4 linked regions of the Tamandua tetradactyla genome follow. The protein of the gene in region 1 interacts with the protein of each later gene in a biochemical or structural test. Links are inferred from orthologs where the notes say so. Each region holds a gene or a part of one and is shown on either strand. Other genes may lie near its edges.

What was found.
Region 2: the proteins of KIT (region 1) and PTPN11 form a complex in vitro, tested with the Homo sapiens proteins (3 studies listed by BioGRID and IntAct, with this or other methods). The link is inferred for Tamandua tetradactyla from reciprocal best matches to the Homo sapiens genes KIT and PTPN11.
Region 3: the proteins of KIT (region 1) and SH2B3 form a complex in vitro, tested with the Homo sapiens proteins (2 studies listed by BioGRID and IntAct, with this or other methods). The link is inferred for Tamandua tetradactyla from reciprocal best matches to the Homo sapiens genes KIT and SH2B3.
Region 4: the proteins of KIT (region 1) and YES1 form a complex in vitro, tested with the Homo sapiens proteins (2 studies listed by BioGRID and IntAct, with this or other methods). The link is inferred for Tamandua tetradactyla from reciprocal best matches to the Homo sapiens genes KIT and YES1.

What each region holds. Positions count from the first base shown.
Region 1 is NC_135345.1:54,926,615-54,934,442, forward strand, and holds the start of KIT (mast/stem cell growth factor receptor Kit), read left to right. Parts: upstream 1-4,813; 5' UTR 4,814-4,916; coding exon 4,917-4,983; intron 4,984-6,775; exon of another isoform or gene 6,776-7,348; intron 7,349-7,828. UniProt on the Homo sapiens protein: Tyrosine-protein kinase that acts as a cell-surface receptor for the cytokine KITLG/SCF and plays an essential role in the regulation of cell survival and proliferation, hematopoiesis, stem cell maintenance, gametogenesis, mast cell development, migration and function, and in melanogenesis.
Region 2 is NC_135331.1:13,176,757-13,183,776, forward strand, and holds the start of PTPN11 (tyrosine-protein phosphatase non-receptor type 11), read left to right. Parts: upstream 1-4,019; 5' UTR 4,020-4,202; coding exon 4,203-4,216; intron 4,217-7,020. UniProt on the Homo sapiens protein: Acts downstream of various receptor and cytoplasmic protein tyrosine kinases to participate in the signal transduction from the cell surface to the nucleus. Positively regulates MAPK signal transduction pathway. Dephosphorylates GAB1, ARHGAP35 and EGFR.
Region 3 is NC_135331.1:12,001,491-12,009,144, reverse strand, and holds the start of SH2B3 (SH2B adapter protein 3), read right to left. Parts: upstream 3,005-7,654; 5' UTR 2,914-3,004; intron 1-2,913. UniProt on the Homo sapiens protein: Links T-cell receptor activation signal to phospholipase C-gamma-1, GRB2 and phosphatidylinositol 3-kinase.
Region 4 is NC_135344.1:63,793,136-63,800,761, forward strand, and holds the start of YES1 (tyrosine-protein kinase Yes), read right to left. Parts: upstream 3,010-7,626; 5' UTR 2,601-3,009; intron 2,467-2,600; exon of another isoform or gene 2,281-2,466; intron 1,827-2,280; exon of another isoform or gene 1-1,826. UniProt on the Homo sapiens protein: Non-receptor protein tyrosine kinase that is involved in the regulation of cell growth and survival, apoptosis, cell-cell adhesion, cytoskeleton remodeling, and differentiation.

The sequences.
Region 1 (7,828 bases):
TCACACATCACACTGTGCTGAGCTCCATTACAGTACTCACCACAATTTAATCTTTGGCCCCTTATGTGTCTCTTTCACTGTAAATCCTATGTTGGGTCTGTATCTTGTCTAACTTTGTATTTCTAGCACTTAATGTAGTACATCTGGCACACAGAAGGTTTTCAATAAATTCTGAATGAAAGCTTGAACCAAGACCATATATTATTTGCTTTCAGCCTCACAAACTATTAAACTCACAAATTGTTATACACACCATTTGTTATACTCACAAATTGGTTATTGTTAGTACCAATTATTCAAATGAAGATCATATATATTCATTTCTTTAACTTTATGGACAAAAAGACTTCTATATGGTGTTAAGTTGCACATTTGAAAGAATTTGAAAGGACTGTATCCTTGATGTAGAAATTCTACTTCTAGAAATCTATTCTAAATAAATAATCAGAGACAGGCTGGTTTTATTCACAAAGATGTTTATTACCAAGTATTTATTATAGTAAAAAAACTCATAAAAACAAGAGAGAAATGATTAAACATTCAGAATTATGTTATACCCATGTAATTAAACTTTATACTGCCATCAAAATTATATTTTCAAGGATTTTTTAATGATCTGGGACAATGCTTAATGATATAAGTAGTAAGAAAAGTGGATATAGAATGAGGTGGGACTCAATGTCAAGGGATTGAGAAAACCTTCTCCACCAAAAGGGGGAAGGGTGAAATGAGACAAAATAAAGTGTCAATGGCTGAGAAATTCCAAACTGAGTTGAGAGGTTACCCTGGAGGTTATTCTTATGCATTATATAGATATTACCTTTTTAGTTAAGGTGTAATGGAAAGGCTGGAGGGAACTGCCTGAAAATGTGGAGCTCTGTTCCAGTAGTCATGTTTCTTAAAGATGATTGTATAATGATATAGCTTTCACAATGTGACTGTGTGATTGTCAAAACCTTGTGCCTGATGCTCCTTTTATCTACCTTATCGACAGACGAGTAAAACATAGGGATTAAAAATAAATAAATTATAAGGGGAACAAATGTTAAAATAAATTTAGTAGATTGAAATTCTAGTGATCAATGAAAGCGAGGGTTAAGGGTATGGTATATATGAATTTTTTTCTGTTGTCTTTTTATTTCTTTTTCTGAATTGATGCAAACGTTCTAAGAAATTATCATTATGATGAATATACAACTATGTGATGATATTGTGAGTTATTGATTATATATCAAGAACGCAATGATCATGTGGTAAGAATGTTTGTATTCATATGTTATGTTTAATAAATTAATAAATTAAAAAAAGAAAACTTGTAAACATTGACAAAAACTGGATAGAAAATCAGAAAATATAGTAAGGTCTTAAATTATGCAGGGGGAGAAAACCACCTCACACGTAAACAGAAAAAAAGATTAGAAAGAAACATATCCAAATGAACTCTTCAATGATTATATCTTGGGTGATATTGCTTTGCTTTGCTATTTTATCTTTTATTGATATATTATATATTCACATGCCATGTAATCACCCAAAGTGTACAATCAATGGTTCACAATATCATCATATAGCTGTGCATTTATCATCACAATCGACTTTCTTTGATTTGTTATTTTTAATTTTTTTGGCATTTTCCAAATTTTCTACAGTAAACATTTTTACTTTTATGATCAGAAATAAAACTTTTTTCAAGTTAGAAATTTTTTTCTGTGTGAGACTGCAATAAACATCCTTTGTTCTGTTTGTTCAGCATTATTCCTCCTTTTCCCTTTTTCTTGGGGACATAATTATCCCCCTCCCCCCATTCTTAGGCCCCATGGTGTGGATGAAGTAGACCTCCAACCTCTGGCTCCAGAAGTGGGTGCATAACTCAGACCAGGCCAGTCATCATATTCCATCCTTCTGGCTTCCATCACTGGTCCCAGATGGGCACATAACTTGAGTCAGGTCCATGAGACTCAGTTTCAGCACTTTTTATAGGAGCTGTTTATGAGGCCAAAGAAGTTCTGCTTCCACTGGTAGTAATATGGGATAAGCCAAATGCCCAGCCTGAACGCATGCGAGGACAGTGAAACAAGACAGAGGAAAGTATTGCCAAAAGTTGAGGATGGAGAAACATACCCACACACCTTTTCAAGTCCTCATGACTATGAGTCCCTGGATCTAGGAAAGTCTGGAATCAGCACTTTCATCCCTGGGTTTTCCACTTATAAGAACCAATTGATTTAAGGGTTCTTTGTTTACCCCCAGTTTGCACTGGGCATCAAGCAAAGAGTCCTCACTAATATGATTATAAAAAGAACAATATATACAAAGAATAACTCATGAAGGGGTCCAAAGCTATCATAAAATACAGTATGGACACTAACCAATGAGTGTACATCCTTCCTGAGATATAAAGCATTTCAATCATGGCAAATGTTCTATTGGAGAGTGCTGATCTATAATATAATTAACATAATATAGTCATAGTCATATGTATATTATATATAATATAGTCATAGCACTTTATATATGTTTCCTCTTGGTATATAGCAGGCTGGGGATATTATCAAAAATAGTGAACAACCTTAAAGGTACAGGTACTGGAAGCGCTGCTGTGTCTGGCAGTAGACCTTTAATTGCTGGATCTAAGGAGATTTGGGGTGTCTTATGGGAAGGTTGGGGGTAGGTGGTACTTAGGAGGTGCTTAATTCAGTGGCTTTTTCCCAGTCAGTACAGAAAGATTTCAATATTCTACGAAACAATATGGCCAGATAGGTGTGTACTGGCTGAACATGTTAGCAGATATTACAGTTTCTTGTTTGGGAGGCTATTTTCCCAGCTGGATTGTGAATTCCCCCAGGGCAGGGACTTTGTCTCCTCCATTTTTGTCGGTCTTGTGCCTACCTAGATGCTCAATAAATGGATGAACATGAGTGACAGTTCACCATTGTATAATTCCTATATTCTGATTTTTTTCCTGATAGAATCTTTCCTGCCTAGAATTAAATTTATTTCATCCACTCTTCTGAAGATTTGTTATCCTCTCCAGGATCAGTTAACTGAAGAAGAAAATTGTAAATTTTTCTCTCTCAGGCATAATGTTGATATTTTAACTCATAGAAACTTTTTTTTTCTCACTACAAAATAGATTTTAGAAATAAATCAAGATTTGAGAAACTTTTGATTGCTTCTAATGGTATCTTTTATCTCTGCTATCTTAAGAAAAAAATGTGGTCTATGGGCCAGAGCAAAACAGAGACCTTTTGAGTTTCCATTCTCTCACAGCTGTCAGATTTGAACCATTTTCTAGGAGATTAGGGTGTAGGTTCCCATCAGAACGGTGAGGGCAGGGATGGAATCTATTAACTATTGCCCTCCCTGTGCCTAGCTCCTCCCTGCTTCACAGAAGACACACACTGAATGCTTGTTTAATGGATAAATACATTTAGAGAGGCAGTACATGTTGGTCATTTGATCATCCTCTAGTCGTGATAATTTTAAAGTGGTTAGTGTTAAAAGTCATTATTCTTAAACCAACTTAGATCCTTTCAGTATCAAATAGAGCTTTTGATAGTAATTGAATATCTGGGTAATTATAAATTTTGGATGATACTTTAGAGAGTCTAGGTAAATCTAAATTATTCTATCCCCTTTTCTGATGGGCCCCTCCCATTTATTTTTCACTCTTAAGCTCTCTGGAGGGGCGTTTTACTCGTTTATTAGAAGGCATGAGGAAAGCTCACCACACCTAGAGACAGTCTTATACTATGGGCTCAAATGGCAGGTCTCCTTTAATGTGTGAGATTGGGCCACTTGAGAATTAAAATAAGTATATCAGCATGAAGTACTATTGGCGAGGAAGAACGATATAACCCTAATCAGATACTGTCGCTACATTTCATTCAAGGACTGCCACCATAAACAGCTAGGAAAGCACGTTCTATGCAATGGTACCTGGTTTAAAGATTATCATTTTACTATTATTTCGCTCCTGGTACCGGGTAGAGCAGCTAAGTTAGAGGAACGCAGGGATCCTCAGCCTTCTAACTGTTGTGCTAGCAAGACAGAGAAACCGTACACGGGCAAAAAAAAAAAAAAAAAAAAAAAAAAGGCGGCCAGAGGGCTTCGCGCAGCGATTGGCGAAAAGGTGTTAAAAACCCAGGCCCCAAAACAAACTTCGGAAATGGCTCCACTTGGCTCAAAAGCCCCAGTCTCCAAGAAAGTATTGGCTGGGGTTTGTTGGACGGAGGCCACGTCGACCAATAGAAACCAACTGTTCTTACAGGTTACCTAGCAGGTGGAGAAACTAAGCATAAAGAATTACCTAAACCCTCTATCAAGCCTTTTACCGCGGTGCCAAGGCGCAACGCTAGAAGAATGCCGCTGCCCAATTTTCTAATCTCTTCTCGCGTCCCATTAACACTTCCAGGGTTAACGGCGATCAGTCCCCTCCCACGTGAGCATGCACAAGGGGCTGCGGTCAATCTTTATTGTCTGGGGAACACCTGCCAGGTGGCAAGCTGGTGCTCCAATGTGCGCACGGTGCCCGGCTTCTCAGAGCGCGCAGGCAACACCACCACCCTCGATTCGGCACTACCTTTAGCGGCCAGACCACATCACGCGGGAGGAGAGAAGGAGATGCAGAGGCCCTCGGGTCAAGACCCGGGGGCGTAGACCAGCGTACCCTCCCCTCCCCCCACCAGGGATAGCTAGTCGAAAAAGCAAGGGCCAGAGACGCTGAGAAGCGCCGAGAGCGAGGGGGGAGGGAGGGAGAGGAGGCGAGGAGGGGCGTGGCCGGCGCGCAGAGGGAGGGCGCTGGGAGGAGGGGCTGCCCCTCAGAGCTCTCGGCTCTGGGGGCTCAGCTTTGCCGCGCGGCTTACACTTGGGCGAGAGGAGGAACGTGGTACGGAGCTCCGATCCAAGCCTCCGCGATGAGAGGCGCTCGCTGCGCTTGGGATTTTTTCTGCGTGCTGTTCCTCCTGCTCTGCGTCCAGACAGGTGGGGAAGGGCGGTGGGGACTCTGGCCGCGTCCCCCACCGCAGCCAGTGTTCCCCGAGGGATTGAGGCTGCTGGGGTGTGTCTGGAGAGGTGGGCGCGGGCCCTTCTGGTCCCAGGTGTTAGAGACTCCGGGAAGATTCGAGGCGTTCCCAGGGCTCTCCTGCGCCTTGCTTCGCTCACCTGTGCGAGGAGCCTCCAGTCGCTGGTCGTGGTGGGGCGCTGAGCTGAGGGGTCTTCTGGGAATGAGGGCAGCGAGGGGACTTGGGCAAGAGCGAGGCTGAAGGCGGACGGCAGTCGAGCTGCACGCGAGTTTGGGATTTCTTTTGTGCGGAGGGTGCGCGGGTGGCAGAGGAGAGGACGGTTTGGAGGCTAGCACCCAGCGCGTTATCTCCACCGTGCGAGGCGCGGCCGCAGCTTCCTTTTGTTAAAAGTTGCGTGTGTGTGACCGGTTCATCAGAGGACCGACCTGCATGTTCTTAGCCGCGTGGAGGGCAAAGTTTGAGAGCCTTCTCTTTTCTCTGCGACTGCTCCTTTCCAACGTGTGGCGCTCTTTGTGCCCAGAGGTGGGGACGGGCCCGCTGCCGCCTCTGCTCGCGGCGCGGCCCTTAGTGACGCTTCCCGGCCCCCCACCCCCCACCCCCCGGGTTATGGTTTTCCAAAGGAAGCGTGCGGCGTGCGCTCTGGGGTCGGACCCCGACAACCTGGAGGTGGCGGCGACAGGGACAACTTGGGCAGAGCGTGTGGAAAGCAGCCGCTAGGTTGCAGACTTTTGGGTTTTGTAAATGCTGTGCGGGAGGCTCGCCCAGTTCTGTCGCGGTGCGATTTCATTCCTGCCACACGCTCCGAGAGCGACTTGGGGGCTGTGTTTGCCTCCTGCTCCGGGAGAGACGGCGACAGCGCTGTCCCAGGCCGCCGCGTGTGCCCAGGCCAGAGTTCCCGACCAGGCTAGCGAGACTCTGGAAGCCCTCGCCTCGGTGTCTGCGACCTGTGAATGCAAATCCCAGTTCACCTCGGGAATTTTGACATTCGTAACATCCCCTGTCACGTAATATTTATACTTAATGGGTGCGTGACGTGGGATGGTTGGAGATGGAATGGAACTTACCGTAGATCTTACTTGATTTTTGAAGCTGTGAGGAAATCCGGTTACATCCGCGTGGGAACTTGGTCTGAAGGTGAAGTGTAGGACTCGCAGGTTCCTGGGTCCCCTCAGGCTGATTCCCCCCTCCCCCTTCCCTTCTGGATGTCACTGGTGTGCGCGAGCGTCACCCAAATCCCTGAAGCCCTCCTCTATCTCCGGTCATTTTTTTAAACCTTTACCCTGATGATGTACGGATAAGAAAGTGAGTCTGAACTGGAATGTAAGGGCTCGAAAGGAAGCGTCGCAGTGACTTATTGTTACCCTGTGCAGACCACTGGTCAGTTTACCCATAAAGTCTCCAGACACTGCCTTTTCCCTCTTGGTCTTGTAAGGCATTGTGAGAGCTTTCCTGTGGGGGAAGAGAGGCCTTGCATTTGGACCTCTGAGAGGTGGGAGGGAATATCCAGATGCCGTGGCCGATTTGATCGCCTAGTTTAAAATGACACTTGGTTATTTTATTTTTGTGCCTTGACCTTTTAAATTTCAGTTAAGATGTATGATCAGAGTAGGACAAGAGAAAGAACTCACTGCCATTTTTTTTTTTTTTTAATTAAGTGAATCAATTGTTTCCTGCTTCCTCAGATTTTTCCTGCTGGATCCAATAGACTTTTTTGTAAAGAGAATTTTAAAGCTTTCTCTTGTGGTGGGGAATGGAGGAGGGGTCAGTGTGATGTAGCCAAAAAGCCTTGAACTGCTTGTCTGATTGGGTTTCCTCAGCCATTCTTTGCCTGCTATGTCCTTGGGCAGGTCCTTTAAATTCAAGGGATCCCAGTTTCCTCAAGAGTGCAATGAGGCATCTGCATTAAAAAGGATCCTTTTGGTTCAAAATTCTTCTCCTTTACTCTTGAGTGTAGATTTAGCACTTTTCACAACTCTTTCCCTGATGCCTTCCCGCAGCTTTGAAATTCCCTTGCTTTTTCTGGTCTCTGGGGCCACTTGGTGTGTCCCTACCCATCTGCCCCTGGTTAAAGCGGGGAGATGTGGTTTATGCTGCCTTTTCTTCAGTCCCCACCTGCTCCCCTACACATTTCTCTTTGAGGGTTAGGAGAGGTGCCAGCTACTAGGTTCTCTTCCTGTATTTACAGCTTCCAGTATTTACAGCTCCCGTGCCACGCAGGATGAACTTGGAAGGAATGGTGAATCATACCTTCCTCTTGTTCCTGCAGGTGTGAGGTCACATTCCTCCCCAGCAGCTAGACACACAGGGTATTGCAGATTATTATCCTGATGAAAATCATAACATCATGTTATAAATGGATCCCACATAATTCATTTAATCCCATTCTGGACTTTCCCACCTTAACTTCACTTTTTTCTATGACTTTATAACCATCGTATACTTAAATGCTTTTATAACAGTTTTTAATAATCTCTTATTACAGGGCCAAGTGCCAGGCCTTGTGCTAGGGGCTTTACCGGTCATTTCAGATCCTCATCAACAAGCCCCAGAAGTAATTTTTTTACTGTCCCAACCATTTTCCAGCTGGAGAAACTGGCTGAGGATAAACTATCCAAGATAATCAGTAAGGATAGCTTGAGATCGGTCCCCTATTTCCAACTGTATGACCATTTTCACATTACTCACCAAAATGTGTTTAAAGTGAGATTCACATTGATTCATTAAAAAATATATAGTCCAGGCATTGGAGGTTCTGGGAATACAGGAGTGAACAAGATGGCTAGTTTTTTTTTGGGGGGGGGGGG
Region 2 (7,020 bases), on another chromosome or scaffold:
CCACTTATCTTAGTTATACATTAAACAGACCTGCAGAAACTTCTTTGATGATAATTTACCGTTTTTCTATATCTATGCTGTTGTAGTACTATTATCTTAGAATTACAGCCTAAAGATCCTTCTGACACATGTTGATTCTAATCTCAAAACCTCCTGAATCACGAGACCCAACTGTACCATGCTATTTGTCTCAGGCCCCTATAACTGGTCCTGTTGATTCCTACTTAATTGCAGAGCGCTATTCATGTTTGTTCAGACTGCCACTGCTGTCTCCTGTTCGTAAGTCCTAATAAACTCATGTCTAATTCCATGCCCGGTGTGTTCTTTGGTCTTGGAGCTGCTCAATCCCATACCCTAAAAGAGATAGGTCTAGACCGTAACAAGTGGCAAAAATCCCCTGGAAATTAATATGATGTCCATTTAAACAGAAATAGTTGACTAAATAACGCGCAACCACACTACAGAATATTATGCAGTTATGGGAAAGAATGAATTAAATTTGAAGGTCTAGAACTGCAGTGTCCAGTGCAGTAGCCAAATGTGGCTATTGAACACCCAAAATATGGCTAGTTCATATCGAGATGTGATGTAGGTACAAAATACACACCGGATTTCAAAGTCTTAGTAAGAAAAAAATATATATATAAGAATTTTTTATATTGAGTACATGTTGCATATTTTGGCATATTATGTTAAATAAAATATATTCAAATAAATTTCACCTGCTTCTTTTTATGTGACTACTAGAAAGTTTAAAATCATATATATAGCTCATAGTTTTACTGACAAGCAGAATTGTCCAGTAAGAGAATCTCTCTCTATAGAGAGAGTCCCTTACATAATTAAGTGGAAAAATAGATCACAAAGATCATGTGTGAATGATATATGCGTATTTAAAAAATAAAACAGGAGAAAATCTTGTTTATATTGTGTATGCGAATGACTGTGAGTATAGGTATAGAGAAAGCTATAGAAAGATACTCATCAAACCATCAGTGCTGGTGCGGGTTGGAGTAGAGATGTACACATTGAGGAAGGGGGACAAAATAACTTTTATTTGGCTTGTTGCAAGGAAATTGTGTTGCTTTTGTAGTTGAGAAAGGAATTCAAATAAAGTATCTCAAAAATGAATATTTCTTATTCATTTTATTATATTTGCCAGGCACCATTAGGCTCTGGGGATATAAGGATGATACATTTTTATTTAAAAGGAGCCTCATAATCTAGAGACAATGGCACTGAAGTGTATTAGGTACCAACAGAGGCACAAACAGGCTGCACCAAGAGCAGAAGGGGGCCTCTATTATATTCTCAGCAAGTGATCTAGGGGTGTGTGTGCAGAGAATGTTTTCTGAAGTGGGTGCCTGAGTTGGAGCCGAACCTTGCATGACATTTAGTTTTCTAGATGGAGAAGGGTTTGAAGGGTATTCCAGGCAAAGGCAGAGGAATTAAATTTTGGAAGGCAGGGATATAACAGTCAGTAGGAGGCCTTTGGAAACTGCAGGAGTATATGAGGGCATTGATTGTACATTTGGATGATAATATGGTGAATGTATCTCAATAAAATCACATTAAAAAGAGAAGAAAAGGAGAAAAAATAAGAATAAGGGTTGGGGATAAATGAAGTTGAGTAAGTAGGCATAGGCCATATCCAAAAGGGCAGTACTTGCTAATGGAAGGATTTTAATTTAATGCTAAAGGCTTTGAGCCTCCTTCATAAAACAAGGGAGTGACATGATTAGATTTGCATTCTAGAATGATCACTTTAGCTGCAGAGTGTACTGAATATACGAGAGACCAGTGAGGTATGGCTTCTGTATTCAAGGAACTTATAGTTTACTTGAGAAGAGACAAATGATAACTTGCACTTGTTACATTCTTACTTTGCCAAGCATTGCTCAAGTACTTCACATTAACCTTTTTAATCTTCACAACTACCCTATGAGGTAGGTAGATTTTTGATTCCCTCTTTACAGAGAAGCAAACTGAGACATAGAACAATCAAGTAATTTGTCCATGGCCACACAGGCACACAGCCAGGCTGAGCTTCACAGGTCAAAAATGTAATCCCCATATTACTGCCTCTTAGATTTACAATATTTAACTAAGCCAGGATAGATGTCTTTGGGATCTCCTAATCTGGACTGGGAAATCAAGTAAGGCTTCCTATTGCAAAGGAGTGACTTCTTTGAGATCTGACGCATGTATGGGGAGGTGGGGCAGGAAGAACCCTACAGAGACAGGATGCTATTATTTAAAGGCTCTGAGCTAGGAAATTGGCATTCTGAGGGGAAGTGAAAGTCATTCAGCATAGTGAAGCAAGGGCTGGGAGAGGAGGGAGCAATGAAGAGGGTAGGAACCAGACCAGGCTAGGTCTTGTACTGCATGTACCATGTCAAAAAATTGTTTGACTTAATCAGTGCAGGGAGTGTCTGGAGTTGCATTTTAGATTACTCTGGCTATTAAGTGGAGAATGCGTTGGAAAGGGCAAACCTGCAGTCCTAAGAACCATTTATTTGTGGTTTGGGTTATGTAGGGGAAAGATAAGGGTGGTCAAGATTTAGGGAGATTAGAAACAGGGGCTTGTTGAACAGGTATTATCTAAATGAAATAGGCACATAAGACAATTTTGTAAAGATAATTTTGCAAATAGCACATCAATGCTGAAGCAGTTTTTTGTAGAGGAGTGAGATGGGCATCACTCAGAGAAAAATGGTAATTTTGGAAGTAGATTGATATGTATTGAAATCATAGCTCTGCTATTTTATTAGCTCTGTGGCTCTTAGCCAGTCATATGGTTCATAAGGTAAGGGCTCTACCTTCTCTTCCTCTGAGTCGCTATCATCTCCAGCCTGGAAAGCTATAGGAGCCTCTGACCTGTTCCCTCTGACCTCACTCCCTTGATCCTAGACTTCAGAGTATCCAAAGTAAGACTTCAAAACATAGATTATGTTCCTCCGCTGCTCAAAATTCAAAGGCTCACATTTCATTATGAAAAAGCCCAAACTTATTAAATTAGCCTAGGGCCCTATACCAACTCTACCCCTCTTTTACTACATCTCCTGTTACTCTTCCCACCTTCAATCTGCTCCAACCACAGAGACCTCTTTATTGTTCTTCAAATGTAGGAGGCAGCCTCCTGCTTCAGGGCCTTTGAACTCATTTCTCCCTGGGCTTGAAATGCCCTTCCTTCAGTTATTCCCAGGGATTGCTCCTTTACTTTCAAGAGCTCTTTATTCAGATGCCATCTTAAGTTTCCCCTAAACACCCTGTTTAAAAATATAATACTCCCCTCCTCCTTCCTTGCCTTTTCTCCATATCACTTTATCTCCACTTCTGTCTATATTTTACTTATCTTCATTATTGTATCTTCTCCCACGAGCATGCCGAGTTCGTTTTTTTCTTTGCCTTTTTAATTCACTGTTATATCCTCATAGTCTAAAACAGCGCCTCGCATTTGAAAAACAATCAACAAATGTTTAATCATAAAGATAAAAAGAGCTAACTTAAAAAGCACTTACTATACAGGGCAAACTCAGTACTATGGACTTTACATGGTTAATTCTCATAATAATCCTAAGAAGAAAACATCATTACTTCCTCAATTTTACAGATGAGGAAACTGAGGCACAGAGAAATGAAATAACTTTCCCAAGGTTACACAGATAATAAGTGGAGCGGCGATTTATGGAATGAAATTAAGGAATGATTTTGGCAGTCTCGCGCGCAGGGATGGAAACTGCCACCATGCAAAAGGATGCAACAGGTCCATAGGAATTGGTACAACACCCAGCGCGGAGCTCACGCCCGGCGGCCAAGGTTTAGAGGGCTCGAGAGCGCTTTGGGTACTATTCTGCGACGGCTCCTCGCACTAACCGACCTACCATTACCTGTCTCCGCTCAGTCCTAGGCTGACGGGAAGCAGGAAGTGGCAGTGGGCGTCGCGCGAGGTGACGTCACGGCGGAGCCTCAGGCAAAGGGCGGGGGAGGAGGAGGAGCGAGTCGGGCTGTGGGGTGGGGGGGCCGGGCGGCTGCACTGTCTCCGGGATCCCCAGGCCTGGAGGGGGGTCTGCGCGCGGCCGGCTGGCTCTGCCCGCGTGTCCGGTCCCGAGCGGGCCTCCCTCGGGCCAGCCCGATGTGACCGGGTCCAGTGGAGCCTGAGCAGGAGCGGGTCCGTCCCGGAGCCGGAGGGCGGGAGGAACATGACATCGCGGAGGTGAGGAACCCCGGGGGGCCCGTTCCAGGCCTCAGCCTAGCCCCCGCTCCAGCTAGTCCGCCCCGCCCGGGAGGGGGCGCCCCCGCCGGGTTGCCGACTCTGGCTCTGTGTTGGGGAAGCAGGCTCTCCCAACCCTTTTGCTCTTACCCGGCCGGGGCTCCGGCCGCTCCGCGCCCCCACCCCTCGGGGACCCATTCATTTCCTGCCTTCCTGAGTTCCGGCTCCCGCAGCCTGGAGGATGCCTGTCGCTACGCGAGCAGGTAGAGCTGCCCGAAGATCCACCGACTCCAGCGGCTCGGCTCGGCGCCGCATTCCTGACCCATTGCCTCATGAGAATTGCCTCATGGTGATTCCGAAATAACCCCGTTCACTCGGGGAGGCTGGTCGACCCAGTACGCGGGAGGGGTGAGGAAGGAGCTGCCGGGGGCCAGGTCCCGATGGTCGAGCGGTTCTGGGTCACTCTGCGTCCTGCGTACATTTGAGGGCTTCACTCAGTATCCCTGACCCCGTTATATACCTTTGCATCCCTGTTTCCCCCCGCCTCTCAAGTGCCAGAAATGGAAAAATTGACGGTATCTGTAGCTATTAGAAGTATTTCCTTCCTCTGCGATCTTCGCTTTGGGAGATGGAAGGGAAGACAGCTCTATCTAGTTATTTAGTGATTAGCACAACTTTAAAAGTCAGGTAGTTTAATCATTCCCATTTTGTGTATGTGGAAACAGGCTCAAAGTAACATACTAGTAAATGGCAGGATTTGAACCTAAATTTGTGTCATTCTAGGGTTAGAAGGAGGATTAGTGAGTTAATGAGAGCTTTTGAAAGTAAACAGTATACTACTAAAAACTAACATTTAGCTTTTACTCTAAGCTTAACACGTTTAATTTTTGAACAGCCCTATAAGGTAGTACTATTCCTGTTTAACAGAGGAGTAGTAAGTTAGAAGAATACTCTAACTCTAATTCTAACTGAAGAAGTTAGACAACTTGCCCAACGTCGCACAATTAGTAATGATGAAGCCAGAATCCGCCGTTAATCAGCATGCTACTATTATTATTTTATAACTATTGCTAATCATTTGTAAACCTTAATTCTGTTGGTAAGGGGGAGTGTTACCTATTGTTTTCAGATAGTGATTATGCTATTTTGTATTACCACTCTCTTTATTCAACTCATACATAGAAGTTATCTATTCTTTTCCTTGATTATGGTCACCATCTTAGATGTTTGAAAAACTTTCAAGTTGCTGGGTGTTTTTGAATGAGAGGCTTTTCAAAATATTGGAATGTCTCGTTAAAACACACCTGCAAGTTATTCACTCATGGATCTGGAAAGAAAAGAAATAGAAAAAAGAAAATGCGAAGCTCCTAGAATTGAGTGACGTGGACAGGTCTGTTGGCAAGTGTCTGCAGTTTTGGGTAATATATAATTGCATTTCAGCAGAACAGTGTATAGCATCAAATGTTCTAATTCTTTAGGGATTTTTAAAATAAAACAGTTGTCTATTCTTTAATCTGTCAAATAGTCATTGAGCCTTTTGTTCCCTGTGTCTGCTCTTCCAGACATGTAAGGATCTGCTTCTTTAGGAGACAAAAGACTGAGATTGGGGGTAGGGTAAGGGCCTGGATAGTAATAGACCCTGCATTGTCCAGCTTGTTGGTTTAGAAGCATGAAAGTGTGGGCATAACCAGCTCAGCAAGTGGTACCGATGACAGTTTTAAAGGGAATAATTTCTCCTCCCCTCCAGCCTTGATATTTATTACTCACCTATTATAGAAAAGAACCTAAAAAGTCAGATTATGAACACAACACAAAATTGACGTTATTTTTTTATCGTAAATTTTATTACTTTTATTCAGCTTTATTGAGTGATAAATGACATGCAATAAATTGCATATATTTAAATGTACAAGTTGATAAATTTGACTTATATATATACTTGTGAAGCCATCACTATAATTTCCATAACAAACATACCCACTAATCCTCATGCTCCTTTATAATCCCTCGCGTGTTCCTAGGCCACCATCCACTGTTCTGCTTTCTGTCACTATTCATTGTTTTTCATTTCCTAGAATTTTATATACATGGATTGGTATTATACAGTGTGTACTTTTGTCTGGCTTTTATGCTCAGCGTTCTTACTTGGAAGTAAATCCATGTTGTAGTGTGTTTCAATAGTTCATTCCTTTTTACTACTGAGTATCCATCACATGGATATCCATTCATTTGTTGATGAACATTTGGATTGGCAAGTGTTTGTGTGACTTTCATTTCTTTTGGTGTGAAATAAGTTGATTATATAGTAGTAGATGTATATTTAATCTTTTCAGAAAAAGTTAGTTTATTTCTTTAGTTGGAGTGATGCAAATGTTCTGAAGAATGATCATGGTGATGAATATACAACTGTGTGATGATATTGTGAGCTATTGATTGTGCATTATGTATGAAATGTTGTATGTTGGGAATGTATGTGCTTGTGCATTGTTTTATCAATAAAAATTAAGAAAGAGAAAAAAGTTAGAATGGCCATAGCTCAAACACCCCTAAAGAGAGAAATAGAAAGATCAAAGGTAGTGGTGAATCCATACAGAAGAGACAGGATCTAACAAATGAATATCATTGCTGAATCATTAAATTGATATCTCTTTTAGTCTCCAGTATCTTAGAGCAGCTAGAAGTAAAAACCTAAAATTGTAATATTGTAACCAGTGTCAAACTCTGAAGTATAGTCTACAACTAATTGTGGTGCTGTGCTTTGAAATTTATTGCCTTTTTTGTATGTATGTTATTTTTCACAAGAAAAG
Region 3 (7,654 bases), on another chromosome or scaffold:
CACCCACATGGCAAATGAGGAAACTGAGGCTGGGTCGGTTAAAGAACATCCTCTCAGCCAGGAAACCCTTCCAGCTCTCTCATCATCTCACCCTGCCTGGGTCTTCTGGACTCTCCTCCCAAAGGTTCAGGGGACCCCAGGATTGTGGGAGGTGCTTAAGGGTGCTGATGAAGGAACATTCCGGAACCGGGAACAACAAGGTAACAATGACGAGAGTCACACCACCACCTAGAACTGAACCCCTTTTGCTCTGTACCAGGCAGTAGGTGCCTTTCGCACACAGGCTCATCCAATCTCTATCACCAACCTGTCATCACCCTCATCCTACATATAGGAAATGGGAGGCTCACAAGTACCACCTGCCCCAGCTGGAAAGAGGCAGCGAAGATTCGAACCTAAGCCTCCAAGACCCTCCACTGGTCACTGATACTTCTCTTTCCAGTCTGCAGCATTCGTAACCCCCGGGAACACACAGAAGTTCTAGGAATGTTCACCCTTTGGCTCAGAAGGTTCCCTTCCTACTCGCCCCCCTCCCCAAGAGAAGTTGTGGGAAGGGGCTCAGAAAAAAGCTGTTAAAAACACTTCCAACTTCCCCGACAGCCCCTGGCCTCTCATCCCGATCCCCCCACCCCCACCCCAGAGGGCTCTGCCTGCTCTCACCCCATTAGAGCCGGGTCTCAGGACGCGGCAGGCCCCGGGAAGCCTCATGAGGGTCTCTGCTCGGGCAGCCAGGTCCGTGATGAGAAATCCACACACGATACTCACTGCATCCCTGGAGGCCCGCCACCCAGGGAGGGGCCCGAGGGCGGAATGGCCACCCCAGCTGGGCCTGGCAGGTGATGCTCATCTCCCAGGTGAGGGGGGTGTGAGGGTCAGATCTCAGCCCCTCTCGCCTCCCTCCCCTCGGCCCTGCAGACCTCACCTAGCCGTGCACTCTGCGCCAAGCCCCCATCCACCCAGCGCCTGATTTCACTTCCTCCCACCCGGCCTGGCCTGGCCGTGCGCCTCCCTGGAGGTCCCCCAGCTGCAAGCAATGACCTCCTCACCTACATCATCGTGGCCGGGGAATGGGGAAGAGAAACGGGAGAATGAGGAAACTAAAGAGAAAAAAAGAAGCGGGACAAGCAGGCAGAGCCCCCTCCCCAGTTCCTCAAATGCAGCCTCTCCCCCGCAGAGCCCCCCTGACCAGGGGGAGGGAAGGGAGGGGATTTCTGCACCAGACATCCGAGGCCTCTGAAATACCCTGGCAGTGAGCTGACCTATAAGGTCAACATCCCCTCCCCGCCCCCATGCTGGGTGTGTGTGCGCGGGATTCCCCGGGAGCTCCATGTCAGCAGGGTGAGGGGACCAGCCCAAGGAGACCAGGTTCTGGTCCCAACCCTGCCCAAAGCCAAAGTTCAGTGGCGGGTGGGCTCTTGGCCCGGCGCACCCGGCAGCGCAGGGCTTGCGGGGAGGGGCGCTGCCCTCTTTGCCACATGGCCTTGAGGACTGGGGAGGAGCCCCACTCAGGGAGGACTCGTGCGTTCTCACAGCTTCGGTTTGACTACTTTCACTTTCAAGCGACCAGGTGGTGACCCCCCCGCCCCGCCCCCAGAGGGCCCAGGTGACCCGGGTGCTGTGGTGCCTGCCTGGCTGGGCTACCTCTGGAGCGCGCTGGGGCTGCCAGCCATCCCCTCGCTCCCGCTCCCCACGGCCTCCTTCCGTCCCCAACACGTGTGTGGGTGGGGGTGTCCGCTAAGTGGTGTCGCAGGAGCTGGGGAAGGGGCAGCCCCGGACACCTGCGTCCGAGTCGGCAGCAGGGCATATCCGAGGCTGTGGTGGGGGCGCAGAGGCAGGGCACAACTGGTCACGGGCCTCCTCCCAGCCCCGAAGGAGGGGAGCGCCGGGAAGGGCGCGTTTACCTGTGAGAGAGGGGGTCCGGGCCCGGCCGGCCCATGGCGTCGCGCGCCCCCGGCCCCCCGAAGTCCCGAGGGGGCGGGCGGGCCCCCGCCCCGGGCGCGTCCTCTCCCGCACGCCGGCTCCTCGCTCGCGGCTCTCTGGAGCTGGGCTCAGGCAGGAAACCCGGGCTCGGAAAATGGCCAGCGCCTCATCATTTCCGCCGCCAGCGCTTGACAGTTGCGGGAGGATGCGCCCCCGGGCCGCCGCCAGGGAAACTTTGCTGCTGCCGCCGTCGCCACGGCGGGCCGCGACAGTCCAGGCGGGCGGCCGGGCGGAGGCGGTGGCCCGAGCCCATGCCGCCCCGCGCCGTTATGTAAAGAGGAACCCGCCGTGCAAGCCCAGCCGGGCGGGGGTAGGCGGCCGGCTCGGGGGCGGGGCCGGAGAAGGGGGCGGAGCCATGCCCGGCCACGCCCAGCCCGCCCGCGAACCGCAGTCTCCCTCAGCCAGAGGGGCGGGCCTGGGAGGGCGGAGCCGAACCCTTTCCCGCCCACCAACCCTGCTCCTTCCCGGCCGGCCAGGTCCTGGGGTCTCGAGGCGTGGCCCGAAGGGGGCGGGGCCCTGTCTAGCCACGCCCACCGCTCGCCCACCCGCTTCGGTTTGCACAGCCCGAGGGGAGGAGGGGCGGAGAACCCGTGGCCCCACCCACCCAGCCTCCTGCAGGCCGCAGGGGGCCTCGGCGCTGCGGGGGCGGGGCCAGGTGGAGGGAAGGGGCCTAGGGGTGCGGCCCCGCGGAGACGCTCGGCCTCGAGGGGGCGCGCCCCGGCCGACTCCCTCCTCCAGGGCGTTATCGCCGCGCGCCGGGCCTGTGGGTGCAATAGCAGCCGCGCCTTTCATCATTGCGCGGGGCTGGGAGCCCGACCCCGCCCCGCCCCGACTCCCCGCGACCCTGCCGAGCCGACCCGCCCCGGCGCCCCGGCGCCCCGGCCCCCCAGCCCGGCTCTGCTCCGGCCGCCACCGGCGCCCACGAAGACCAACCTGGAGCCTCCGTCCGGGAGGGAGCCAACTTTCCCTAGAAAGCCTTGTAGGACTGTTAGCCCCCTGCCCTCTGGGACTCCCACTGGCCTCACCTCCCCGCTGCTTTCATTTTCTATTCGGGGTTCCCCCTGATTGGGGTGCGGACAGGCTCTCAGGCAGCCCTCCCCAGCACGCGGGAGGGAGGGGGGAGGGGAACGTCTGCCTTTCTCACCCTCCCCAAGCAGGAAACGAGCCGCTCACGTCCCGCAGCCCGAAGGGGCCACCTCATGGCTTCCCAGATAGTGCTCTCCGCCGCCGCCCCCCCTCCACGGCCTCCCCCTCTTACTAACCTTGGGCAAACGACAAGACCTCAATTTCCGCATCTGCGAACTGGAAACAATAAGGGTCTCCATTACCCTGGGTTGTCCAGTGGATTAAATGAGTTCATGGGTGTAAAGCAATTAGCATGGGGTCGGCTGGAGGGCAAAGCAGGTGTTGAGGCCTGGACCTGGGCCTCCAGGCAGGAGCTTCCCGCCTCCACCTGGATGGGGACCTGGGGCTGGTCTCCTGTCAGCCTCGAAGGAAACAGCGGGGAGGACTGGGAGTTCCTGCTTTCCCTAAACGTGTACTGGATGCCTTCTGTGGGCAAGGACCTGTTCTGGGTGCTGGGGCCATGGCAGGGACCACGACAGACAAACATCCCTGCCCTCGTGTGGCTGACATGTTAGTGAAGAAACAGCAGGGACAAATAAGTAAACAAGGCATTTATTATGAAGACAGCAGAACAGTTCTGGGATGCAGAGTGTCTTAGACTGGACACCCTCTGAGGGCCAGGAGGTCCTCTCTGAAGAACTAACATTTGCAGAGAAACCCCCCTCCAGGAGAAAGATCCAGATACGGTAAGATCTGAGGTAAGACCAGGGGAGCAGCAAGGACAAAGGTCCTGAGGTAGGAATAAGATTGGTGCATTTGAGGAAAGTCAAGAAAGTAGTGGTAATACCTAGAGAGACAGACGGGAAGAGTTGAAGTTGGAAACGTGGATCCATCCTGTGGGGGCTTGAAGGGCCCAGTGGCGAGTTTGAGAATTATCTTGAGGGTAATGGGGAGCCACAGATGATTTTGAGCAAGGGAAGGACCTGCTGGGCTTTGGATTTAAGCTGCAAAACCTAGAGTTGGCAACTTGCTTAGGAGGTATCCCTGTGATGCTCACACAGCATTTAAGGATTAGGGCGGGGTGCTGGGAGATGACATAAGGCAAGCCTAAACTCATCACCCCATGTTATTATCTCTTTATGACACCCAGGGAGACTGAGGCCCAGAGACAGCAATTTCTTATCTGTATCACACAGCTGCCAGGTGGCGCCAACAGAGCACCCTGGCCCAGGTACAGAGCCCCTGCCAAATGGTTGCTGAAATCTGCCAGCCACAAGCACTTTCCCTCTCGCTGGCCAGACAGCAGCTCTGCTGACTTAGACGGGGCCTTGTGGTTCTTCTCCTTTTTAATCACTGTTCAAGTCTCTGCTCGCTGCCAGATTTCTCTGAAGCCCAAACTGGTTTCCTTCCTCGCTTGGTTTCTTGCCCAGCGTCTCCTCCGGAGTCCAGTTTCTTGTTTCAAGGCTCACCCCGATTTCTAGACTTCTCACTTTTTGTTGGTTTTTCTTAGAAAAGGGTTACAACCAATACTCTTTCCCACCGCCTTGCCTTCAACTCGAGAGCATGGTGGCTCAGACGCAGCGATTTCATTTCATCTTCTCCACAGGGCAGCTCCCCCAACATCACAGGTCCCCAAGGCCCAAAGAGTGAGGTTCATTTGAATTCCTGCCACAGATTCGCAGCCTCCCCGCCTTGCCCCCCAGGACAAGCAAAACCACCTTGGGGGGCATGTCCCACTGGCCTTCCTTCCTTCCTAAGGTGAAAACCTGGAAGCAGTAAGCAAGCACCTGCTGCTGGCCAGGTTCAGATGCCAGAGACGTGGCCCAGAGTATCAGAAGACAGTTAATGGGTTCAGGAGTCATCATAAAAGGGTGAATAACAATAAATATTATAACAAGAATGGCCAGGCCTAATTAAGAATAACAGTAATGATCAACTATTACAGGAGTAATTAAAATTAAATAATGGGATATTACTAAAATTAATAAATTAATATGATATCTAGTAACAGGTCTAGGATTCATAATAATAGTAGTTAATGATTATAGGATTAATAATCAATATAAAATAATAACTGGATGTGAATAAGTAATGATAATAAATATAATAATAGTTAAGAGATCTAGGATTAATAAAATGACTTAATAGCTACAGGAGTAATAATTATATAACAATAGGCTAAAATAGCATGAGCAAGAATAAAGGTAAAAATTCAAGAATTATAATAGTAAACAAATCTAGGATTAACAAAATGATGAACCGTTTTGGCTCTGACCAGTGGAACTTTCTATGAAAGTGGAAATGCTCTCTCTGCACTGCTTCATAAGGTCACGGCTAGCCATATGTGGCTCTTGAGCACTCAAACCGTGGCTGGTGCCACTGAGGAACTGAATTTGTAATTTCATTTAATGTTACTCAATTGAAATTTAAATAGCCACCCTCAGCTGGTAGCTACTGCACAGGACTGTGCAAGTCTGGGCATTTTCCGTATGCTGGCTCATTCTACCCTCACAACAGCCCTGGGGCAGGTCCTCCTGTGACTAGCCCCATTTTACAAAGGAAGAACCTGAAAGGTTAAGTCACTCACCCTGATGAGAGGCTCTCCCCACCTCAAGCACAGGGCTTCATGGTCTGAGGGGCCCCATAAGTAAGGACGAAAGCTCTGGGGTTACCCGGAGAGGTTGGAAATTCTCTGTTCTTCATCCTTCCAGAATGTGGTTATGTAGACACCCCCCGCCCCGGGGGGACTCCAGTTTTCTCACCTGTGAAATGGGAACAAACACAGTGTTAACCCCACTGGGTGGAGGGGGAGGAGAATGTGATGAGAAAACACAGGTTAAGGGTTTGGGGGTATGTGGGGTGGGGTGCTTCCACTTAGCACACATGCTCAATAAAGAATGGTGATTAAAAATTGGGCAGGAAAAGTCCCCTTTGGGAATGGTGAGAACGGGGGAAAATTCAGCCTCCCCAAGTTGAATTCTTGATATTCTCACAAGCAGTGTGGACAATCAAAGCTATAGGCTGAGCCCCCAGTCTTGGGGTTTGTTCATATGAAACTTAACCCCACAAAGGATAGGTCAAGTCTACTTAAAATTAGGCATAAGAGTCACCCCCAAGAGAACCTCTTTTGTTGCTCAGATGTGGCCTCTCTCTCCAGTCAACACAAAAGCAAACTCACCACCCTCCCCCTGTCTATGTGGGACATGACTCCCAGGGGTGTGGACCTTCCTGGCAACGTGGGACAGAAATCCTAGAATGAGCTGAGACTCAGCATCAAGGGATTGAGAAAACCTTCTCGACCAAAAGGGAGCAGAGTGAAATGAGACAAAGTGTCAATGGCTGAGAGATTTCAGAGTGGAGAGGTTATCCTGGAGGTTATTCTTAGGCATTAAATAGAAATCACCTTGTTAGTCAAGATGTAGTGGAGAGACTGGAGGGAACTGCCTGAAAATGTAGCGCTGTGTTCCAGTAGCCATGTTTCTTGAAGATGACTGTATAATGATATAGCTTTTACAATGTGACTGTGTGATTGTAAAAACCTTGTGTCTGATGCTCCTTTTATCTAACATGTCAACAGACGAGTAAAACATATGGAATAAAGATGAATAATAGGGGGAACAAATATTAAAATAAATTTAGAGTGAAATGCTGGTGATCGGTGAGGGGGAGGGGTATGGTATGTATGAATTTTTTTTCTGTTTTCTTTTTATTTCTTTTTCTGAATAGATGCAAATGTTCCAAGAAGTGATCATGATGATGAATATGCAACTATGTGATGATATTGTGAATTACTGCTTATATATATAGAACGGAATGATCAAAAGTTACAAATGTTTGTGTTTGCTGTTTTTTGGTATTTTTTTTAAAATATTTTAATTAATAAAAACAAATTGGGCAGGAGAGTCCTTTGTCCTTCAAAGGATAACTGGGAAGAGTGGTGGCTCCAGAGGTGAGACCTACGGGGAAAAGACCTTCACAGCCATTTGACAGATGAGGTGGAATCCATGCTGCCGTGAGTGGAGGCCGGTGTGCACACTGTAAACCATGTTTCTGCGGGCCTGTGCTCGGCCTCTCGGGACGAAAGCATGGTCCACAGGTGACAGGGAGGCCTGGGACATAGGCTGCCTCCCCCCCCGCACCACCCCCCACAACTGGACAATGGCTGGTTCTAGAGTTTTCTAGGCCTGGGTTCCAATCCTGCCACTGTCACTTCTTGCTGTGCAACCACCAGCAAGAGACTCCTGCTCTCTGAGCCTCAGTGTCCCCATCTGTAAAATGGACATAGTAGTAGTGGGTGAAGGGAAATGAAATTGTGTTGGAGTGAATGCTCTGCATGCTGAATGTTATCAAGGGGTACCTCTGGGGCACAGCTCAGCTCCTTCTTGTTCCCAATTCAGGGCTCTGGCACTTACTGTTCCATCTGGCCAGAATGCCCCCCCCCCTTTCTTCACTCCATTCACTCCTCAGAGGTCCCTGACCACAGATCCTAAAGCAGCCCCTCTGTACCGTCGTCACTCTGCGTCTATCCTTGGACTCTCCTTTTTCTTCCTCTGCTTGCCCCCTGCCGACTTTATACTATGAAAATCTGCCTATGTGTTTATTGATGTTT
Region 4 (7,626 bases), on another chromosome or scaffold:
GCCCGCCCCAGTACATTTAATAGAAAATACTTCATTGCAGTTTTTTTAAAAAATAGTTTTACCACTCAAGTTTGCATTCCTAGACACCATAGCTTAGTACTGCTCTATAAAAATTTTTTATATAAAGCTTCTTTCTCAATACAACAGTAATAGAAATTAATGAATGATACCGACATTGAACAGACTCACTAGAGAGTTAAATATATTTATAAAGAAAAATTACCCCTATAATAAAGTATTTACTGACCCAAATGATCCAAATTGAAACTCTGAATAAAGGAGTCTAACACCATGGTGGTTAATATTTCAGTTGTAGAAGATTATTGTTATTATTTTAGCATATTTATTCTTTTAACATTGTATACTTTGAGGGGGATTTATTTACATAGACTTAATTTTTCATCTTAAGAATTTCCTGAATAAAAAGAAAAACTTCAACCATATATTATTATACTTTAGCCATAAGACAAATTCCACCTATCTCAGGAAGATAGAGCAAAGCTGTAATTTCACTTTTGATTAAACAGAGAGGAGTCAATTTTGTGGTTTATGAAGTCAGCAAACATACTGCTCTAACATTATGTTGGTTACAGCAGAGTATATATGTTTTAAGAGTTCTTTTATCTACTATCTGAGAAACATGGACATGAAATGTCTTGTAGTTCAATTCAGATCAAAGGCCACATTTTTTTTCAAGTTTGGGACCCTACAAATTGTCAGCCAGCATTTAAAATCTCCATTGATATTTCACTAATGTCCAAAAGTTAAACTACAATTTCCTTTTCTTAAATGGCAACTATGGCAAGGGTCTCGCACATTTGTAAAAAATACATATAATATGTAGAACGGAATGATTAAAAGTTACGAATGTTTGTGTTTGTTTGGTGTTTTTTGGTATTTAAAATAAAATAAAATAAAAGGTCTGAAGCAAATCTGAAAATAATAAAAAAGTAAAGAGGTAGAAGTAAAAAAATACATATAAATGGCTTAGTGAAATACCACTTTTTAATAGTGTACTAAATGAAAATCCTATGTGACACAAAAAAGGTCCTTGGTTTCTTCTAATACAAGACATTCCTCATTACCTGCCCATTCCAAATGGTTACTGTCTACTGTGGGACAAGCATCGTGCTACTTAAGATAATATTCGCTATGCACTTTGCCTTGAACGCATACAATTATACGTGTACATTTCTTAACATTTTTCTTACTGTGCAATTTAACTAGAGAAATTTAACAGGACAGTTTAAATACATTTGTAATCATAAAATACCTTTGCTGTGTAATCCCAATTAGAATGCACGAAAATGCAAAATATACATGTGAAATCCTGTATATGTACATTTTCACATATACAGTAGAACATATGTGTCTAATGTCACGGACATAAAGTTGAGGTCCTATTAGAGACTTAATTCTTCATTTTCTCACTTTAATAATTTGCCACTTATCAACCCTGTTATCTAATGCTTATTTCAATTAATTATGCACAAACTAATCAGTCACAACTAAACTATGTTGTGCCTCACTCACTACAAAGCAAAAACAGTCCCTACACCAGACTAGAATTTCGAAGATCTACTTAAAACGACGCTGTCCCAAGTCCAATAAAGCAAAAGCTGGAGGCAGTGATTATAATTCAGAAGAAAACAAACTTTAATACAAAATTTTGTTACACATGCGGACAGAAGACCAAACTAAACGCGAGGCGGAGTGGCAAAAGACTGTAAAACCTGGGTGCTGAATGGCATATTTCCTCCCCCAACCCCCAACCCAAAACAAAGAAAAACTTTAACATGTTGCGGTTTTCAATCAAACCAAGAGGAGTGAGAGGCTCGCCCGCTCGTCCCGCACCGCCCGTCCTCGCTCCCAGCGCAGGGGCCGCCCGGCGCCAGCCAACGCGGATCCCAGCCTCTGGGGCAGAAAGGGGCTTCCCCCAGCCCCGATCGACCTCGGCCGTGGGGGCTGAGATTCACCTCGCTCCCCCCCCACACCTCGCCGGTGGCCCGCATGACACGAAAGACCCGGGGAAGGGGGCTCCAGCACTCCAAGACCTTCAGTCGGACTTGGGCGGGGCCGGACGGGGCGGAGTCCGGGTCAGGGGCGAGCAGGTAGTGCGGAAAGGGAGACACGCCCGCCGCGCGAGCCGGGCCGCAGGAGGGAAGTTTCTCACCAACTTCCCGACTCGGAGCAGGCTGAGGTGGGAAGGGTAGCGGCGGACGGGCGGGCGGGCGCGGGGCCTAGCGCTCCCTGGCTTAGGGTCGACAGCCCAGTCCTTACCTGTTCCCTGGCCGCGATCGCAGGAGCCGCTGCCGCGGCAGCTCAGGTGGAGGGGAGGGGGCGGCGGGCGGCGGGCAGCGGCGAGGCCCGCGGGGCCCTCTGCCTCCTCCTCCACCTCCGCGTCCGGGGGCGCCCGGCAGCGGCGACGACGGCAGAGCCGGACCCGGACTCGTTACTTCGGGAGGAGGGAATTCCCGGGCTCCCCACCCCTCGGCCTCTCGCCCCGCCTCCGCGCTCTCCCCGCCCTCACGGCGGCTCCGCCCCTCAGTCCGCGGCGGGGCGGGCGGGGCTGCGACTACCTGCGCGCGCGTCCGACTCACCGGAACTCGCGCTGCGGGCCGGTCCGAGAGGGCCTTCTCCCGTCGCGCGCTGCGTCCCAGTCACTGCTCCCGGCCCAACATGGCGGCGGGGTCCGGGCGGATTCCCGAGGCGGAGTTGGCCGAGGGGCCGCGAGGAGGAGGTGCCTCTCCACCCCGCAGAGCGGCGCCCCTACGGACCCTGGGGCCCGCCGATCGGCTGCCGCGGGGGAGCAAATGGCAGCACAGATTTCAGCCTCCTCTGGCTCTCTTTTCAGTTTGTCCCTCTCTCTGTAGTGCCGAGGGCTCTGGGATTGTGTTTGTTTCTGTGGCGGAGGACAGGATTGAGAGTTTTGGGGGCTGGTTCTTTGCTTCTCAGTACTATGCTTCCGCACCCTTTGTCGCTGATAGTAAAATCTCAGCCCACCGCAGGAGCCGGGGGGGGGGGGGGCGGGGGACGGGGCGTTACTAAAGGCTCGTCACCGTCCTGGTCGCCGTCCAAAAACGTTCGAGGCTGGCCTTGCTCCGACTTCGGGATCCTGTCTCCTGCCCCTGGAGCTTCCTGTTGACTGTAGGGCGGTCCCCCTTTTAGGAGCGGGGAACCGAAGTCCGGGTCCCTTGGGCGACTCTCCTGGTAACGGTGGCTTCGGCTTATTGGGGGACAAGGTCTTATTTGATCCTCGCAACAACTCAGCGAGGGAACTGGGGCAGTGATTCTGTTTTATATTTCTGAAAATCGAGTCACGGCCGAGATCGTGTTCGTCTGAATCCCAGTACCTTTCCTGTTGGCCTTGCAGCCAGTCGCTGGAGAAAGGGGAGGATCCAGAAGGAAGTGGGATAAAGAGGAGAGTTAGTCAAGGTCGGAATGGGCTGAACATTGAGGCTCTTTCTGCTGCAGTCACTCCGTACATGAACTTCCTCTTTGTATTTCCTCTTTGGTGGGGTTATCAGGATTATTAATGTGGGACTGTTGGTTTCCTTTGTCTCTGATTTTTTTTTTTTAACCGAAATTCGCATCTTCCGCAAGCACCCACGAAATAACATACGTGTCAGTGTTATGGTATTCTAGGAACTTAAGAAAATGTTTTCTCAGCTCACAAGATGAACCGAGAGGAGAGTAGCATAAGCATTCACATTAACGAAAAAGTGCACACATAACGTGGAACAGTGCTTTTATTTAGCTACTAAAAATTCATTTCACTGTCGGCTTTTCTGGATATAGGTTATCTTCTATTTTTTCTTTCTCTCATATAGATTTATATTTCACTTTTCTTTAACAATGAAAATACATTCCTTGAACTGGGTTTAACTTATAAATAAAATAAAGGTATTATTTTTGTTTCCCTCAACTCTCAGGCTAAAAAAAAAAAAAGATTACCTATAAAATACTATATTCTGCAGTCTGAGTGAGGTTGCTTTGAAGATACTCTCTATGGAATTTTAAAGATGGGGCAAGGATGGGTTTATATTAACTTACCGAGTTCTCCTTTCCTCTTCACTCTCATTAACTTTTTATTACCTCATTCCGTTTTCTTTTTTGGAATATTCGTGGTCCAATACTTAACTTCCTGATTACTTTACTCCTATACTCAATGTCCCACTTATTTCCAGGAATATTTAAAACATTTTTTTTTTAATGAGAGAGTTTAGAACCTGAGTTTGGTATGGTAGAAGTTGTGTTGAACTCATCTGAAAATCTGCTCATTGGTGAAATGGACAGATGGAAAAGCTCACCCCCGTGTTTCCTTCCTACACAACACATAAGTAATGTGTGTGTGTGTGTGTGTTAAAGAGTGATAAGGGATAAGTTTTGGAATTCCTGGGAAAGACTGTTGGATGAAAAAGCTAGGAGAAAGCTTTAAACAAAATTAATGAACTGTGTTCTCTACAAATGTAAAACATTTTCCTTTATTTTAGTTTATCAGTACTTAAAAGTGTTTGACTAATTGGAAGTTTAAAAGGTTTGGAATTTAGCTGGGGCACATTCACTATCACCCTGCAACATGTTATTCTGCCCGGAAATGTTTTTGATTAGGATAAACCTTTCCTACCTGCTGTCAGTAATATGGTGCTGCTGCTGCTTCCTTTGTTGTGCCTAGGCCAAGGATTTTCTCTTTCTGAGGACAGGAGAAAGCCAGCAGCCCTTACAGGGTACATGCACTGTCTCTGCTCTCTAATAACCACCCCCGCCCTTCAAAATGCCTTTCTTGGAAATGCCTTACTCTGGACTTGTAATAACCACTCAGAGACCCACTTTCATGTCTACTCTGTGTATCTTCTTAGCCTTGCCTAGTCCACCTGGCCACAGCTGCTCCAAGAAGCAGTTAGGAACACTAAAGATCCCTTGAAGCAAAAATTCCAAGGGTCAGACCAAAGGAAGGTATCCCTACAGTAAACTACCAATTTCTCAGTGGTACTGACATTGCCTCAAGGAGTGAGGCTCATATCATAGTTACTACTTTTCCTCAACTGAGCAAGGGCTGCCTAAGAGAACAAATTCGCTAAGTGTGTAAGGTCATGTTGTACAATTGGTAGATGTCACAAATGGCAAAATCCTACATGAGCTTCCTCCAATTCTGGTCATCTTTTGCTGTCTCCAGCTTTTGGCTTTATCTCAACTCAGAGACTGTTCATGGTGGCTGTGGTAGAGTTAAGAGTTGAGTGGCAGAAGGTGAATGTCCTGGAGTATGGAAGCCCAGTAGCAGGAGGCAACAAGGGTCCAGTGCTGATGGTATCAGCATCCTAGGCCGACCATCCCCATGGCAGGTGTTGGACTCTGCTTTGCTTTCCTTGGTTTCTGACTGAGCCTGGTCCACCAATCTTCCTGTTGATTCTGTGAACTTCCTCCAAAAAATTTTCTTTCTAGTTCAATTAAGTAGAGCTACAGTTTCTATCCTTTGCAAAGAAGAACCTGTACTGGTAAAAGGTCACTACTTCGTCTCTGATACTTGCTGATAGTACTGTGTCAAACTTGAGTATTATGAAGGTAGCATCTTCTTATGAGGGTGGGGGAGGTGTTAGATTTTTGCAAAAGGAAGATGAAGCAGATGCACAGCAAGAAACAGGTATAAGCCTGTGGAACCCCAATTGTAAGACTCTTAGTTGCCTTGAGTCATGTCAGACCCAAACCTAGAACAGAGATGGCAAATCAGTCTCTCCTCCTGCCTGCTTTTAGGACATTGTATATCATACGCTTTTTCTCCTGGAGCACTAACTTCATCCTAAAAATCTTTTTCCACAAGATTCAGGCAACCACCCCAAAACTGGAGCTAGAATATGTTGAAGCCCATTTGTAATCTCTGCCCTCTAGGCTTGTGATTTGCTCCCAAGATCCGTATTTGCAATTCTGATAGCCATTACCAAGTGTTTGGTCTTTACTTTTCTAATACAATAACCTGATGTGTAGTTATGTCAGTGACTCTGACATTGAGTTTATGCAAGCACCGCTAAAATTGCTACCAGATTGCTACTTCCTAGAAATCTTTATGAGTAGGTTACAAAACAGTAGAGTATAACTTTGAAGGCAAGAAGTTAAAGTTGAAGTGTTTACCTACATCAAAGGTTTAGAAAAGAAACTATAATCAGGAATTCTGTTATCTTTAAGGCTAGTTGACATCAGCTCATAAAACATACAGGTTTGGTTATTAAGGAACTTTTATTTATTATTAGATGTCTTGCAAGCTAACAATAGCTGGGGTAAAAAAAATGGTTTTAGAAAATGTATGCTTTTGAAAACCTTGTTTTAATATCCTTTTTTAAAGTGAAAACTTCTTTTTGCATTTTTAGCAATATAGTTTTTTTTTCACATTTGTGTCTGAGCAAATTAAAATCTGACTTACCAGATTTTGTTATGTCATGCAAACCATAATACATTTAATCCTTTAGCAAATTATATTGTCGTCTTTGATTTATGTTATGCATAGGGCTTTTGATTACTTGAAATAGCTAATTTTTCTTCTTTCTAAGGGAATGATGTATGCCACAAATATGTAACATAATATCCATGCTTTGAGGAAATGTGTTTTAGGTCATGTGAATGACTTAATTAACCGGATTGACGAAACAGATAATAAGGTTGATGAAAATAATAACAATAGCAGCTATCTTTTATAGCACTCTCACCATGTCAAGTGTTTTACCTACATTGACTTCTCATAACCCCAGAGGTTGGTAGTATTTACAGATCGAATCCCTCAAGCTTAGAGAGGTTAAGCAACCCAGAAGTAATAAGAGGATATATTCCAAAACCTCTTCTACTGAAAGTCATGGTGATTGCAGAAAAAAAAGTTTAACAATGTTATATAAAACAGCATCTATTTCTTCAAATTCTGGAATAAAAAACATTAGTAAATTGCCTGTATAAATAAGAAATGTGAAACTCCACAATTGCTAGAAAGTTCTTTCTGAATATTACTGTTGCATCGCCTTAAAGTGGTGGGGCATACTGGTAAAGACATAAGAGACAAACCTAAAAAGAATGAATTCAATTCAGAAAAAAACAACATACATGAAAGAAAACTTTCTGGAGATCAGCATTTTGCATCTATCAAGTCAAACTTCCATTCAAGTTATATGTTTTCAAAGAACCAAATATCTGAGAAATGACTATTTGTACAGCATAAGTTATTACAACAATAAGTAATTACCAAATATAAAACATCTATGTCAAGTCCATGCTAAGGTTTACATTTTGATCTGCCAAGGCTTGCTTTTTTAAAATTCTTTCGCTTAAAAGAACTAGCCACTGTTTTTTTTCAAATTATATTTTAGCTTTTATTATCAATGTCATTTCTTTATAGTGAACTAGTCTACAACTGTTCCAAATTATTTTGAGCACTGAGTTCTCATCTTTACTTTGCATGTATGTATGTCCTATAAATAATTGAAACCATGTTTACAGAAGAAACAACAACTATACACCAAAAAAAAGAGTATATATAATAACTCTTAAATTTTAGAAGATGCTATTTAAATAATCCAAACATGACTAATTTTAAAGTAGAGATTTTTCTTTCAGAGACCTGATAATTTTGGCATAGAATTATTTCCA